2 linked regions of the Caenorhabditis elegans genome follow. The protein of the gene in region 2 purifies or fractionates together with the protein of the main gene of each other region. This does not show direct contact. Each region holds a gene or a part of one and is shown on either strand. Other genes may lie near its edges.

Region 1 (7,600 bases), on a different chromosome or scaffold from region 2:
CAGAGATGTTTCATTGGATTGGCACTGTCATGGAAACCGAATATCAGAACGGAATTCATTCGTTTATTCCCTGCCAATTGATTGACATCTTTCATGACTACTTTGAAACAGTTCAAAAAGCTCATAACAACGGGATCGCAGATATTTCAAACTTTTCGTTTCTTCTCTACATTCGTGACCGCATTGTTGACGCTCTACGGGACCATTTCAGCATCGTGACGCCAATGCGTCAGAAGAAGAAAATAGTTGAGCCTCCTCAGGAAATTTCTGATAGATATAATCCGTTTGACTATGAGTGGCTGAGCGGAACAGTTGTCTCTGGAAAGTATGTTGCATAAAAACTATATAAAGGTTAACTTTTATTAAAACATTTTTCAGATATCACTTTCCATTCATGAAATTTCTCGCTATTGACAGAATGCAGCAGCTTGAACTTTCCTACTATCGTGCTGTCATTGTAGCTTCTAAACGAAAGGAAGAACTTGGCTTTTTGAAGAATCTCCGAATTCCATTCCCACAATCAGCTGACAACGCGAACTTGCTTGACAAAGCACTTCAAACCAACGAGACAAAGCTTCGCCAAGACTTTTGCAGGATTTTGAAAATCTTGAAGAAAGAGAGAGGCCTTGACAAGACAAGGGCAGTATTGTATATCCAGAAGATGGAGCAATTTAACGAGTTGTGTGGTGTTGTGCGAAATAAGAAGAAGAGCACCATGGATCAAATCACTCATTGTGAACCTTTCAACATTAAACCAAAGCTTCGTTTTATTGCGGTCATGGCTTCGATTGACGCATTGTTGCTTGTTATTCAGAGAGTTTATGCTCTATTCGTTGACAAGGAAAAAGGAATATATGGCGAATGCGTGCCAGAATCGGTGAGAATAATGGGTTCATGAGGTGAATTTTGTTTCAAATTTTAGGTATTACTCACAGCGGCACAACTTCTCAAAATCACGACAGTGGAGCGTTGCCGAAATGACGACATGGACAAGGAAATCTCTGGAAAACTTGAAGTTCTTCGAGTCAAAGTACACAATGCCGTCAAAAATTTCTACATTAAGAAAGAGTCTATCAACCACGGCGTTTTTGTCGAACCGGATCACGATGAAGCTGCATTGAAAAAAATCAGATTTGAGTTGACCATTTCGGAAAACGAATTCCCTCCCATTGTGATGCACCATGCTTCTCGAATGTTGTGGCATCTGAGACAACAAAAAAAGGAGTTGAAACGTTTGAATAAGGAAATTCATTTCGCAAAAGCTGCCGAACTTTTATGGCCAAAGATAGAGTAAGTTATTTTTCATCGGAGATAGGATATTAAAAGAGGAGGATAGGTTCTGGATTTTTTGGTTGCACAGATAGGCAGATGATTCAAAAAACCAAAATCAACTAGTTTCAAAATTGCATTTCTCACAAATATCTGAAAAAATTAAATGGCCTAAATTAAGCTAATATCTCCTTTTGCCAAATTTCCCGCGTCACAACTGTCCGAATTTTGCTTGTATTAAGTTATCCTTCATTATTGCATACTTTGGGCGTTTATCTCAAGTTATTTAAAGCATTTAAAACCGATGGGTATCCAAAAAGTACCAAAACTGGATTCCAATCGGCATTGTATGTACTTTAATTTACAAAATATAGTGAGAAATACACCCAAAATATGCAATGAAAGATGATAAAACAAAAAAATCAAATTCGCTCGTCTGCAACACGGAAAATGTTTTTATTTGAGCACATTTTGTTTCTAAAATACCCAGAACTAATACTCCTCTTTTCATCGGTGTTAGAATAATAATAATAATTGAATGTTAATGGAATTTTTTTTCAGTGGAGTCATGTTCCAGCTGAACAAAGTACCTGGAATCTGTGCCTTCGTTTCAAACTTTGACGATCATGTTGATCGAGAAAAAGTGAAGGAAGTAATTGCCGCATCAGAACTCGACTGGATGAACCCTGAGCCAGAGTTTCGTGCGGGTGTCGAAATTATCAACGGAATTCATCATATCATGGACAAGTATCGCGGCGTACCACACTGCGTTGAGATCCGAGCAACATTGGAAGCAGAGTTCCACGCAGAAATGCATTTTCAACGCATCAATGGGCAGACTTACAAACAACTTGCGGCTCAGTTCTCGCAGATTCTCATTCAAGAAATTGATCTCACAAATTCTAGAATCAGATATCAAACTAAAATGCAAACAGCTTACCTTGCTCACAGAATTGCCAGAATGATGGCTGGGACTTACATGGATTATGTGTGTAACAACATGAAGAACCCGCCGTCTAGATGCCGTGTAAGAACTCCAACACCAATTCCAGAAGACGATCTTCCAGAAGACACAGCTGAAGGCTCCGAAGAGGGTAGAGAATCTGAAGAGACTGGCTCGGAAACCGGATCGGATTACGCAACAGATGAAGGACCAAATGTCGGACGTCGTCGGGTTAGACGAAATGTAGAATTGGAAAGCGATGATGATGATGAAGATGAAGAGGAAGATGAAGAAGAGGAGGACGGCGTTGAGCGTCAATTTGATCCCGAGGAGGCCGCCAGAGTTGCATTCCTTCTCAATACGTTTTCTATGAATGGAAATGTCATCTTCGTGGAGAATGAAGGTGACGTAGAAGACGATCGCGTTCCAGATGACGTGATTGATAACTTCATTCGCAATGTTCGCAGAGTGCACATGGAGCCGGATATGTCTGCACCATATTTGAATATCCCACTTGATTAATATCTTTTTTCGCTGATTGAATATCATTTTGTTTTTGTTCTACATTCTTTTGTTTCCTCAAAATCTCATCACAACGTATTTCATGCTCAAAAAATTTACCATAATTCCCCACGAAATTTGTAGACGTATAATTTTATCGGATACCACATTTCCAAACTCATCATACACCCCCATCTTCAAATGTGTCTAATTTTATATTGTCCGGTTAGGCTTATTGAAACCAAAGACCTAGTGAGCTTTTTATTATCATTTCCTCTTTTGTTCCATACTCTTTCCCATTGTTTCATGACAACATCCATTGGTCAACGTTCCAAAGTGTTTGGCGCACTGAAGTACGATTTACGAATCAAGTTTTTGGTACCCCAAAAATGATTTGTTATTACTTTGAAATAGAATGCAAAAATAAATTTATTACGTCGGAAATTCATAAATTCAGATGTTTATTACTAATTCTTGTTACTAATTCTTGATCAGTTTGGAAATGTGGAGTTATATTGAAAGTTGAATATTCTGACTGTAAAATATTTTACAAGTCTCGAATTAGAACTAATTCACATGACACGTTTATTTTTAGTTCGAATGGATATTAAGAAAAGTTAAAATAAGTCAGTTTTCGATCTGAAATAAGCAGTTCATTTAGGATTAGCAAGATTAGTTTTCAATAATTTATTGACTTCAAGTAATTTATGTCAAAATTTTTCTTATGTTTTCAGTGTATCAACATATTCACATTTTTTCACATTGTGCAAACTTAAAACTGGTGAATTAAAGTTAACAGGCTTCAACTCGCGTGCCAAGTTTCGGAATGTTTTGTTTGAACCTGAAAAGTGCTGCAACTGCTAATGTAATTTCATTAGTAATTTCGGCAATTTGGGCCCGAAAATGAGCATTGCCGAAAATATAAAGTTTCAAAATTTCTGAAGATTTTAAATCGAATAGATGTTTTTTATATCAGAATGCTCAGTATTCAAGTTCAAATGTCTCAAACCTCAAATTAATAGGTAATTTTTGAAATAGCAAACGGTATCCAACATCCAACAATTACGGCCTTTGTCATGCACTTTTTAGAAATGAGCAAATGCAAAACTTTTCAAAAATTGATTTGAAATTTCCTATTTGCACAACAAGCTCAAAATTATATTGACATAAATTCCAAGTTTGTATCACGAGCATGCTCATTATGAAAGACACCAATTTCAGATCAATCTTATGATTCTAATTGTCATTGTGTTTATTTGCTCGTTCTCCATCATCAACAACATACTGGGCGGACGTTAATTTGTAGCCAACTATCAGTCAATTGATAAGATACCCCACACAATTGGTGGCTCTTTTCTTTTTGTCTGACAGTTGAACAGTCACTCTGGGTTTTTCTTTTTACAATTTGATAAGTTCTGTATTGATTTTTATCATTAACATTTTAGAATGAGAACATTCTCAGTTGCACTGCTGCTTGTCTTTTTTGCGTCGAGCGTTTCATCCGTTCGCTACTACTCCCTTGCTGACACCTTCCAGTCAGTAATTGATACGGAAAAGGCATTGGAAGAAGAACTGAGAGTTAATTTTGAAAATGCGAGAGCAGCAAGAGACAAATACCGGGAAGAGACTCAGAAGAAACTGAACGAAACGCTTTCAAAGGTATCTGATGCAGTTAAGCAGAGAGCCGATGAATTGGAAAAGGAGAAACAGGTCACAAATCAAAATTTAAATATCAGTTTTCTTATGATTTTTTTCAGGAAAAAGCTGAAGCCAAGAAAAAGGAAGCCGAAGCAGCGATCGAGAAATGGAAGGAGGTTTCTCAACAAGTTGGAGAATTCGTCGAGTCAGTTAAGGAAAAGAAACAAGCCAAGGAGCAAGAAAAACAACAGGTTACTATTTAAATTTTAAATTTTTTGGATTATTATTTCAGAAAATTGATGATTTTGTGAAAACTTTTACGGACAAAATCAAGCAAAAACAAGAAGAAAAAGAAGCACAGAGGCAGGAGCAAATTGAGGTATAAATCACAATTTATTTAAAAAATTGAAATAAGAATTTGAAGTAATGACGCTTTATTTGTATTAAGATATTACTAACTACTACTTGGTTTTTCTTTATAAATGCTCATCTTATTCTAGAAATGGAAGCAAGCCTCTGAGAAGCTTCAACAACAAAGAGAAGAGTTGAAGCAACAAATCGATGCAGCCAAACAAAAGCTTGATGAAAGAAGAAAACAGAAACTGGAGGAATTGAAAACCGATTTGGCTCAAGTCAAAGAGCTGGTAACTGCTGAGGTGAAGCGTCGCGTTGACGAGAAAAATCAACGGCTTGGCGAACAAAGAGAAAATCATGAAGCTTTAAAGCAACAGATCAATGTGAGTTTTTGGCAATGTCTTCCAACTGATTTCCCATCTTGATTTCAGGATAAACTTGCTGATATTGAGCAGCAGGGGAAGAATGTTGGTGATCAGGCAAAAACATATGAGCAGAAGAAGGATGAACTTTCGGATCTTATTCAGGTAATTTAGGGATTTTAATGTCTTCATGCAATTTTTGATATCAGGATCTAATCGGGCAAGGTGTTAAGGATAAGATGGCCAACCAAATTTCGGACAAGCTTCAGGGTCAACTTGACAAGGCAGCCTTGAAAGAAGTTTTGAACGAGAAGAAAGTTGAACAAGCTGGAGCCCCACCACCGGTTAATGAGATCCCCGTTGATATTGCTCCGAAAGCAACAATTCTTGACGAGTTAGTTACTTACTATTAGCATCGAGAAATACCTAAATCACGATTTTCAGAATCACCGGAAAAGCTGCATGGGAGACTGTAACCTGGGTTCTTCTTGCTCTGTGCATCCTTCTTTCAATCGCCTTAATCATTATCATTGTTTATCAAGTCAAACAACGCTCTGTCTACGAACGGCTCGACGGCAACAACCAGGTTTACAATCCAACATCAGAAAGAGCCCCACTTCTTCCACCACCAGCAACTCCAATAACTGCTCTACCACTGGCTCCTGCCAAAGAAGAACAGCAGTTTTAAACTTTGTTCGATAACCATGTGATTGTATTATAAAATTGTTTGCACATTGTTTTGCCATTTTTCACGTATAAATTTTTTGATTGATCCTGGTTATTATTAAAAACAAAACAAATTAAGGGAGCCTGTTAGTGTTAAAATTTGGGAACCAAAAATTATAATGCCACGTCAACTTCAAACATTTTCAAAAAACGAAATAAATAATTTCAAGAATACATATGTATTGAAAATTAAGAAGGGAACCAATTTTCTAAACAATCTCAACGGAAGTTTTTAATGAAAGTTTTGATTTTGGAATGTTTTAAAGGCAATGCACGTTGCCGTATGCACGTTGTTTAAACTCATTTACATTAATCTTACATGCAGCGAAAAAAACGCATTGAAAAAATTCAAAACATTTTTGGTGGGATGACAAATTTTAAAACAAAATTTCCGTTTTTCAAAAAACTTTTGTCGAATTCCAAAGGTTTAATATTTGCAAACCGAATAACTGCCACATTCCATCTGTAAATTTAAACAATTCAGAACATTTCTGAAAAGTTTCTCGAATTTCTCATTGGTGCTGCTTTACCTTTGCCATTATTAACTCGTCAAATTACAAAATAACTTCCGCAATCGGAGACTTGAGACTTGACAGCCGAAAACCAAATTCGATTATAACTGAACTGTACGATTTTGGTTATAGTTTGTATTTTTTTTTGTACTTTAATGACGTAAATTATCGTCATATTATTCTGCTCGATGAGCAGTTCCCAAGCATGTGATCAGTCTGTTTAAGAAATCATAGAAACATTAAGAAATCACTACAAACTAGATGATAGACATCTAAAAATATAATCAGTTGTGACTTGTGGTTGCCCTTTTATTATTATGATTATTATGGATTGTTGCACGTTGAATAAAATGACTGAAACAATATGTAATTTGAACTCGAAAATACGTTCAGAGGGATCTTTTTTTCAGAAGCATTGTAGGTAGATTTTGTAATACTTAGAAACCTATTAGCATTTGAGTATAGTTTTTTATATCTACTTGTTTCACCATCTTAAAATTCATTTTTGATTATTTCAATAGAACACATGTTATATCCTCTATTAGTTTTACTGTCTCTATTAGTTGTGCACCCCTATTAGCCTTGCACCCTTACAAGCCAATCGAAAATTAGTCTTGCAGCCTCTATCAGTATTGTAGTCTCTATTAGTCTTGCGCCCCTACGGACAAATTGAAAATTAGTATTGCAAGACTAAAAGTCTATGCAAGACTAAAAGAAAAAATACGGTAAGCTTTATCTGGAAATACTAGCGCTTAAATTTTTTTAAACCTTTTTTTTTTTCGTGTAAATAAGTTTTGTTCCATTTTATTGTTCCCTAAAATTGAAAAGATTTCAATTTCGACATACAAGGTCGATAACGTTCTTGATCACGTCAGACTTTGACATAGCTATTTGTAAAAACAGTTCCAATTACTCGATTCTTGGTATTCCTATGTAGTAGTACTACTCGTCAAACAAATTCTTCTTCCGACATGAGAAACATAAATTCGGAACGACTTCTGTGGCCTTGCCTTCTATTTTTCCATTTTCTGAGTACGATGCATCTTTTTTTGTTCTTGATATCAGTTCTATTTGACGGCCACCGTCTTAGTTTTTGTCTTGTGTTGGGCATTTGCAAAAACTACGAAAAACTATCAACGATGGAATGAAAGAAAAAAGAAATAACATTTCCTTCACTCTAACACAACTTCGGTTTCCCTTGTTTTAAAAGATGAGTGACCGACAGCCAATGAAAGCGGGTAGTAGACAGAAACAACTTACGGTGTTTGATTTACTCAAAAATAAATCAGATCACA
Region 2 (8,603 bases):
TTTTTTGAAAACTTTGAAAATTGTTTTGTGAACGAAACCCTGCAAGGATTATATTCAAACAATTTTTTTGCCATCCAAGTAAAAAAAATTAAAATAGGAAAAAGGTTATAGAATTTTTTTTGGTCAAATTGCATATTTAAAACTTTTTTAATTTGATCAATAATTACCACCATAGCAGTCACTTCATATTTGTATCTTTCAGAACAAATCTCAATCCCAAAAGCCACTTAAGGCTGATGTTCCATGCCTCAACGATACTGAGATGCTCTCCTATATGAACAATCCAAAGGTTCGTAAGGCAATCCACATTCCATTCAATCTTGGAAAATGGGATATCTGCAGGTGAGCCTGAGCCAAAGAGCCCAAGCCCAGAGATCAAAACAAAAATTTTCAGTGACAAGGTGACTACTACCTACCAGAAGCAGTACACCGATATGACTCCATTCATCAAGAAGATCGTCAAGAACCACGTCAGAGTTCTTTTGTACTATGGAGATACTGATATGGCCTGCAACTTTATGATGGGACAGCAATTCTCTGATCAACTTGGACTTCGTAGAACACTTAAAAAGACTCCATGGAAGTATGATAGACAAATCGCCGGATTCAAGACACTTTTCGATGGGCTCAGTTTCATCACTATTCGCGGAGCTGGACATATGGCTCCACAATGGAGAGCTCCACAAATGTACTACGCCGTTCAACAGTTCCTGAATAATCATCCACTTTAAATTTGGAGAACAAATAATATTTTTATCTTCTTATTTATTTTTCAATCTATTGGTCAATTTTCCAAGTTTTGAATAATGAAATTTGATTTTTAAATTTTGTGATTTTCGAATACACTGAAATATTTTTCAGAAAGCTTCCAAATAACTGTAATCGGTTTACTCATATGACGTTTGGATTAAAATTTCAAGTAATTTCGATTAATAAAACTGATGTTCTACTTATTAATACGTTGTACCTTTGGAAATAGTCAATAAATAATTGGAAAGTCTTGTTTGTTCGAAAAAATATCGATTTGAAATCTCAAAAATGCCTTTTGTGGCACTTCCAACCAACATAGTTACTTTTTGTCCAATTTCTCAATAAAAATCGTATTAATTGAGCGAAAATACTACGAATTCAAAAGTTTACCATTCAAATTTAAATTTTCCTTTTTCCCGCCGATTTTCGCTACTTCGGCCATGTGCGAGTTTCTAGGCCACGCGGAAATGCACGGCGGCCACGTGGTCCGCAATTTTACGTACACGTCATTTCCGCGGAATTTCCAGTTTTATTTTCCGATTTTTCGCTTAAATTTTTCAATTCGAGATAAAATCAGTTTCATTTGCTAAAAAGAAACGCAAATTTATTTCAAAAAATCAATAATCTTCTTCTATTTGTTTTTCTATGACCGATTCTTTTGAGAATTTAATTTTTTTCAGCCGTTTAAAAGAGAAACCACTTGGGTCCAGTCAAAATGATGAATTTCGAAGTAAGCACAACAAAACGTAAGTTTGAAAATCAGAAAATATATGTAAACTGTGAAACATTTCAGAAATCGGAGTGGGGTTAACGACGTTCGGCTTCTTTTTCATATTTCTCGGAGTGCTGATGTTCCTTGATTCTGCTCTTTTAGCTATCGGAAATGTAAGTATTTATTGTAAATTTAAAGCATAAAATTATTATTTTCAGCTTCTATTCATTGTTGGAATCACATTTATTATCGGCGTGCAGCGAACACTTGTTTTCTTCTTCGAATTCCGAAAACTGAAAGGAAGCATTCTCTTCTTCGGAGGTTCGATCACAAGGAATTCATTATTTTAATTTAAAAATTTATTTTCAGGGATTTTGGTAGTTCTATTTGGGTACCCATTGTTCGGAATGATTGCCGAGTGTTGGGGATTTATTGTCCTTTTCGGGTGAGTTTTTGACTAAAAAATGTTGAGTTTTCTAAATATTTGCAATAGAATCAATATCTTGAATTTTCTGCTCTTTTTCTTCGATTTGTAACAAACATTTTGAACTAATCGCTCACGAAATTAAATTTAATCTAATAATAATGAATTTACAGTGGTTTCCTGCCTGGAATTGTCAATTTGCTCAGAAGTATCCCCGGAATCTCAACAATCACATATCTTCCTGGAATCCGACAGGTCAGTTCTAACGAATCAGGATTTTTATCAATTATTTCAAGTTTTAGGTCCTCGATCGCCTTGCTCCAGAATCCAAGTACCCCGTCTGAAAAGTTCAGGATCTTCCCAAAAATCTCACCAAAAATGGGTTCTATTTTCTTTTTTGTTGAAAATATTTTCTCCTGTGTTGTCCCTTCTCCTCTCATATCACGTTCGGTTCAACTACGATTTCGGCCAAAATGCACATTTTCTGTGTAATATTATTCAATTTTAATTTATTTATTATTAAAAATTTTAAATTTTATCTCATTTCTAAAATATCCCTCAGCCTTTGTTGTATAATACGCTTTCATTTTCTTCTGTTCCTAGGTGAAAAATGTGATTATAATTATTTATTAGATTCCCTTTTTTCCTTTTCTTGTGTTCTGACTCGATATCCATTACATGACTCATTTCGATCAAAAAAAATGATGTTCTATGCTTGTTCTTCAGATCAAACAAATCACGTTTTCACCACCAAAGAACTCATTTCGACGAAGGTTTCTTCTCCCTTCAACCTCTTATCTTTGTTGCCATTTTTAAGAATGACAAATCGAGAATACGAGACGCAGGGCCAACAACATCTCGTTATAAGAAACGGTCAACCCGATCAATTCACGATTTTAATTCAGTTTTCTACAGCTTCCTGTTTTCAAGCACTGCAGATTTGAAACAAAAACCTTGTTTTAAACTTAGAATCTACCTGAAAAGTCCGATAAAAACTGAAAAAGTTCTTACTCGTAGAAAAAATTATTTTTAAAAGAAAAAAAATGCAGAAATTGATGAAATAAGGTTAAAAACCAAATCAAGCATTTTTGAACATCATTTTGAAATAAAAAATTGAAAATTTACGGTATTGTGCATATTTTGTGCAATTAGAATGCGAAAACTTTGAAAAAAAACTTCCAAAGTTGAATTTTAAATAGAAGTTGCCTAATTTTCTTGAATTTTTCATTTTAAAGCATTGTTTCTATTACAGAAAATTAGATATTTCAGAAATGCTCAGTCGTCTAGTCAGCTCCGTCCATCCACAAATTGGGCTCCGTGCCGCTTCTTCTGCAGCCAACAATATTGTCAGTCAAGCTCAGCTTCAATCCGATCCTTCGAAGGTTGCTATTCAATATCCTTCTGAACGTTTTTTCCATAATTTTATAATTTTCCAGCTCCTCTTTATCGATGGCGATCGCAAAACGACTTATGGAGAATTTGTTAAACGAACTGGGCAATATGCAACTGCTCTGACTGAAAAGTACAATATAAAGGTCATTTTATCTTTAAAATTGTATAAATTCAACTTTTCAAATTCAAATTTTCTCAGAAAGGAGACCGTGTGATGGCTAGAGTATCAAAAACGACCGATACAGCTGCTCTCTACATTGCTTGTCTTCAAATCGGAGCACTCTATATTCCAGTCAATCCAGGATATACTGAATCTGAAGCTGCTCACTATATCAAGGATGCGACACCTTCGATTCTAGTCTCGTGCAATGAAGAATTGGATAAAGTTTTCAGAGATAAGATCAGGGTTATCAACGAGGATAAGTTGGCATCTGAAGCAGGAAGCTTGAATGTAAGCTGGAAAATATGAAAAATTTAATAATTTTCAAAAAAAAATTCAAAATTGAAAAAACCACAAATTCCTTGTGATGCTAATCAAGAAATATAGAAAAAAATATTAATTTTACTTTACAAATTCGTGAAAACTTGAGCCTCCAGTTTAAAGGGACACGATCTTCTTCTGCTTGGGTCTCGTCACGATCTCAGCCACCGTGCAGTATCTATTCTGAACGTTTTTAGAAAAAAAAATTAAAAACCAAAATTTTGACAAGAATATTAGGAAAATAGGAAAAGTGTTTGGAGTACAAAAGTGACTACTTTTTTTTGGATTTTTCGGTATCGAAATACCGATCAAACCAAAAAACGCCGTGATCGTGCCGAGACCCACCCGGAAAATATCGTGTGCCTTTAAACTGACATGTCAAAATTAAGTCAAAAGAAAACACAATATACATACTATCCATGCCCAATATTCAAATGCAACATTTTCCAGGCATGCACCATGATCGAACATGTCGAAAAATCGGATCCCGCATCAGTTTGCTACACTTCAGGAACCACCGGACTACCAAAAGGAGCAATCTTAACTCATGGATCATTGTCTAACAACGCACATGATATTGTCCGAGACTGGGGATTTACTGGAAATGATTATAATCTACATGCACTTCCATTCTATCATGTACATGGACTCTATTATTCCCTTCATTGCTCTTTATTCTCACATTCAACAATGATTTGGCGGTCGAAATTTGAAGTTGAAGATTGTATAAAATACATGAAAAATGCGACGGTTATGATGGGAGTACCAACATTCTTTTCAAGACTTTTGGCATCAAAGAATTTCAATAAAGAAGCATTCGGAAATGTTCGAGTATTCATTTCTGGATCTGCACCTCTATCAGTATCTACAATTGAAGAATTCAGGGAAAGAACTGGACAAGTGATTCTTGAAAGATATGGTATGACAGAAGCTGGAGTTATGACTACTAATCCATTGAATGGAGAGAGAAAAGCTGGAACTGTTGGCCCGGCTGTACAAGGAGTTGGATGTAGAATTGCAAAAAATGGAGGAATTGAAGTGAAGACAAATGCGATTTTCGCTGGATATTGGAAGAATCCAAAGAAGACAGCTGAAGAATTCACTGAAGATGGATGGTTTAAAACTGGAGATGTTGGACATCTTGATGAGGATGGTTATTTGACGATTGGTGGAAGATCAAAGGATATGGTTATTACTGGAGGATTAAATGTATATCCAAAAGAACTTGAAGATTTCATTGATACACTTCCATTTGTTAAAGAATCTGCAGTTATTGCATCTCCACATCCAGATTTTGGAGAAGCAGTTGTTGCAATTGTAGTCCCGTCGGAGAAGGTGACTGATGAGAAGGAGTTTGAGAAGAAGCTTATTGGAATTATGAAGAAGAAGGTTGCCAATTATAAGGCAAGTTTTTTTATTTAAAAAATAATCCGAAATTTCAAGATTTTTGCGCTAAAAATACGGTACCCGGACACGACAAATTTAAATGAAAAAGAGTGTGCGCCTTTAGAGTACTGTAATCTTGAAATTTCGTTGCATCGAATTTTTCATCGATTTTTTTTCATATTATGTCAAAATCTGTGCGTTTTTTTCAGTTCTATAATGAACGCATATTTTTATTCAAAAAATTATAGAAAATGGGTGAAAATTTCGCAGAAACAAAAATTTTAAGCTACAGTACTCTTCAAAGGCGCACACCTTTTTGTATTTGACAAAAAAAATTTCGCGTTTGGCTAATATTTTCTGCCATTTTTATTTTTTTGTTGTGAAACTAATCAATAAATGCAGAAAAACTTTAAAAAAATTGAATTCGTCTTGCTGTTTTCAATTTTCTTTTTCATTTTTTTTCTGTGTGCGCCAAGATTACTGTAATCTCAAATTTTCGTTAACGATGATTACTTACTTATTCAGTAAGTAATTTATTAATTAGAAGCACTAAAATAAAATTATGAAAAATCCCGCAGAAACTAAAGTTTTACGTTACAGTACTCTTTAAAGGCGCACAACTTTTTGCATTTAACAAAAATGTGTCATGTCGAGACCGGGTACCGTACTTTTGCGTCAAAAATCTCATAATAATCCCCTTAAAACTTTTTTTTTGAGTTTTCAAATTTCCATCGGACACCGCAATTCTCGTTCAGATATTTGTAATTTTTCAAGTTATAACAACCTGTTTTCAATCAACTTCTATAAAAAAAACATGTGATTTTTATAAATGTTTGATAACATACCTATTCTGCAAATAGGATACAAATATTAAAATCAAATTATCAAAGCTCAATGTCTAACATTTCAGGTTCCAAAGCGAGTGATTGTACTGGATGATTTGCCACGAAATCACATCACTAAGGTCCAGAAAAACGTTCTCCGTGACACCTACAAGAACCTCTTCGCCTAATTCCATTCCCAGTCAACAATACATCCCCAAAATATAGATATCATTTTTCTATTTTCAAATTGTAAATATTTCATAAGTATTGTAGAATCTTTTGTACAATTTTTCAACTTTTAACAGTAGAAAATAACAGTTGTTTATAGATATTTTTTGTTTCTATTGTTCTCCACACACTTTTAGGACGACGTTGTCCTCCTGACCCCGTAATCAGTCAGACTATTCTTAAGATGAGAGACATTTGATTATCAGATTAACATCAATGATATTATATATCTTGGCAACATCTTACGCGGTCAGTGTGTACCCGTTTTGGACATGTTGGAATCACGTGAAGCCCGTGAGAACTTTGGCTATAAAGAGAAGTGAAAAGACAAAAAGGAAGATAAAAAACGAAAGAGTATAGTGATTTATGACACAGATTTGCCCATGGTTTTTGCGAAACTCTTTGCCGAAACTCGATGTGTGATGTGCTAAATACTGTACTTCGAAATGCTTGTCAGCTTCCTTATGGTCTCACCACGAATTTTTTTGAATTGAAACTGCGGTGTGAGCCTTTAAAAAGTACAGTAACCACTTAGCCATTATTCCGCTTTTTTTGCAAATACATGCAAAATAAATCAATACCCAAGGAAGTCACAAAATTACGAGAGGTAGGTTACTGTACAACTTAAAGGCGCTTTCGAGAAGACCCAATTCGAAATGTTTTCATCGTGGCAGCAGCGGGTATCTTAATTTTGCAGAATTCTGAGATATCCTGTTAAAGGCGCACGGATTTATTCCGAGGCCCACCTGAACGAATCCGTGCGCATTTAAGTAGATATGTCTAGGTCCTACGAATATACAATAGCGTATTTCATGATTTTTACACGTCCAACATAAGCCTAAACCTAAAGAAAAGTAAGGAAATGTACCATTTTGCAAATTTTTCTATAAATTATAAATTTACTTTTAAGGCTCCCACTGCGGGCAAGTACGTCTTCAGGCGTGTCTACCTGTTCACATGCCTACTAGGTAGGCCCCGGGCAGGCGTCGTTCGCCTTGGAGGCTGGCAAAAATTGTCCTGAAAATAAACTTACAAATCTGGAATTGTTTAAAAAAACCATCCATAAGTTCCTCGAAGTAGTTCCCCATGCACCTAGTTTGAACCTGCTGGGATCAAAAATTCCGCTGTAAAATATCCAAACGGGAGCGTGAATGAATCATATACAATTCGTCAAACATCTCTCGGTCCAAAAAAGAAATACAAAGAAAGATCTATAACACTTGTTATTTCCCCCGAACAGTGGTTAGTCGCCACCACCCACGCGTAGGAATTTCTTCGAATTTGATAAGAGAGCTATTGAAAAAGAAAAAGGCGACTTTCAACTTTCAAAAATCAGAAAAATGTGACTTCGCCTTCAAAGTGATCATTTCAGAAGTATTTTCAATTGTAGAGAGTGTACATAAAATGGAGAGACATCATGGAGACCTGAAAGTTTTATAAATGGGAGGACGATGGACGGAGTGGTCGGACCTGGACGACGACACTAGCCATTGTTTTCTTCGTTTTAGTTTTTTTTTTCTGATAGCTGATAACTATTTTTTCTTTTTGTTCATATTTTTGAATGGGTCTTGCAGCGAAAAAAGTCCTTCGCTTATTTGAAATTTATTTTTGTTCTTGCTACTTTATCTTAACATTCCGAAGTGGGTGCACAAATGTATTCTACTTTCCCGACATTTGGGCAAAAATACGGTTCCCGGTCTCGACACGACAAAAAATGTAAAAATAAATATATTCTTATCGGGAATCTATCAAAAATTGATTAGTCTTCCAAAAAGCAAAATTACAGTACTCTTTATAGGCGCAAACCTCTTCGCAATAAAACAATTTGTCGTGGCGAGACCCGGTAATATAATTACATAATAAATTTTTGGGTCCTTAAGTACGCATTTTATAAAGTTGATAAATTATAGTTTAAACTTTTGCAGTTTGAAGCTTTGCTTTCACTCATTTTTCTTAAATTTTCTTACCTTATCAATTCCCCTTCTGCAACAATAAAGCTTCTGTAGAAGCCGTAAGGTGTCAAAGTGCATAAAGTGGATTCACGTGATTCATTCACGTGCCACATTCCGATACAGTAGTCAAGTGTGTGTCACGCCCCTTTTCCCGCGCCGCCCATCCGCGCATACAAATCTCCGCTGCCACACGCATTCATTCTCAATCAGATCATCTTTGATTCGCTGTCAATGGTTCTACGATGTCTGGCTCGATTATGGAGATCGTGTAGAAATGTTTAATCTAGAAGTTGGCAAAAAATAATGAAAAATTATTGCTTTTTGATTTTGTTAATAAAGAAGCAATAAACTATAGTTTTATTCTTCTTTTTGTTGTTTTCCCGTTATAAGACTAACCAATGAAATTCCAGATTCTAACCTTGCTTAATTAATTGAGGCAAAAAAAGTGCAGTCT

Evidence for each region. Proteins that work in one complex are often made in the same cells at the same time.
Region 1: the proteins of acs-11 (region 2) and lro-1 fractionate together in Caenorhabditis elegans (co-fractionation; one large-scale study listed by BioGRID). This does not show direct contact.

What each region holds. Positions count from the first base shown.
Region 1 is NC_003284.9:6,267,931-6,275,530, forward strand, and holds lro-1 (Lysosome-Related Organelle protein), read left to right. Parts: upstream 1-4,158; 5' UTR 4,159-4,159; coding exon 4,160-4,423; intron 4,424-4,470; coding exon 4,471-4,602; intron 4,603-4,643; coding exon 4,644-4,730; intron 4,731-4,851; coding exon 4,852-5,088; intron 5,089-5,136; coding exon 5,137-5,232; intron 5,233-5,276; coding exon 5,277-5,461; intron 5,462-5,511; coding exon 5,512-5,755; 3' UTR 5,756-5,838; downstream 5,839-7,600. Other genes in the region: W05H9.2 (Dynein heavy chain 7, axonemal), read left to right, coding at 1-325, 379-877, 923-1,290, 1,831-2,734.
Region 2 is NC_003280.10:4,738,982-4,747,584, forward strand, and holds acs-11 (fatty Acid CoA Synthetase family), read left to right. Parts: upstream 1-3,155; 5' UTR 3,156-3,157; coding exon 3,158-3,268; intron 3,269-3,322; coding exon 3,323-3,421; intron 3,422-3,477; coding exon 3,478-3,729; intron 3,730-4,209; coding exon 4,210-5,163; intron 5,164-6,055; coding exon 6,056-6,157; 3' UTR 6,158-6,299; downstream 6,300-8,603. Other genes in the region: Serine carboxypeptidase ctsa-1.1, read left to right, coding at 203-342, 395-731; eas-1 (putative Golgi transport protein 1), read left to right, coding at 1,466-1,496, 1,544-1,635, 1,681-1,783, 1,832-1,907, 2,060-2,141, 2,189-2,230.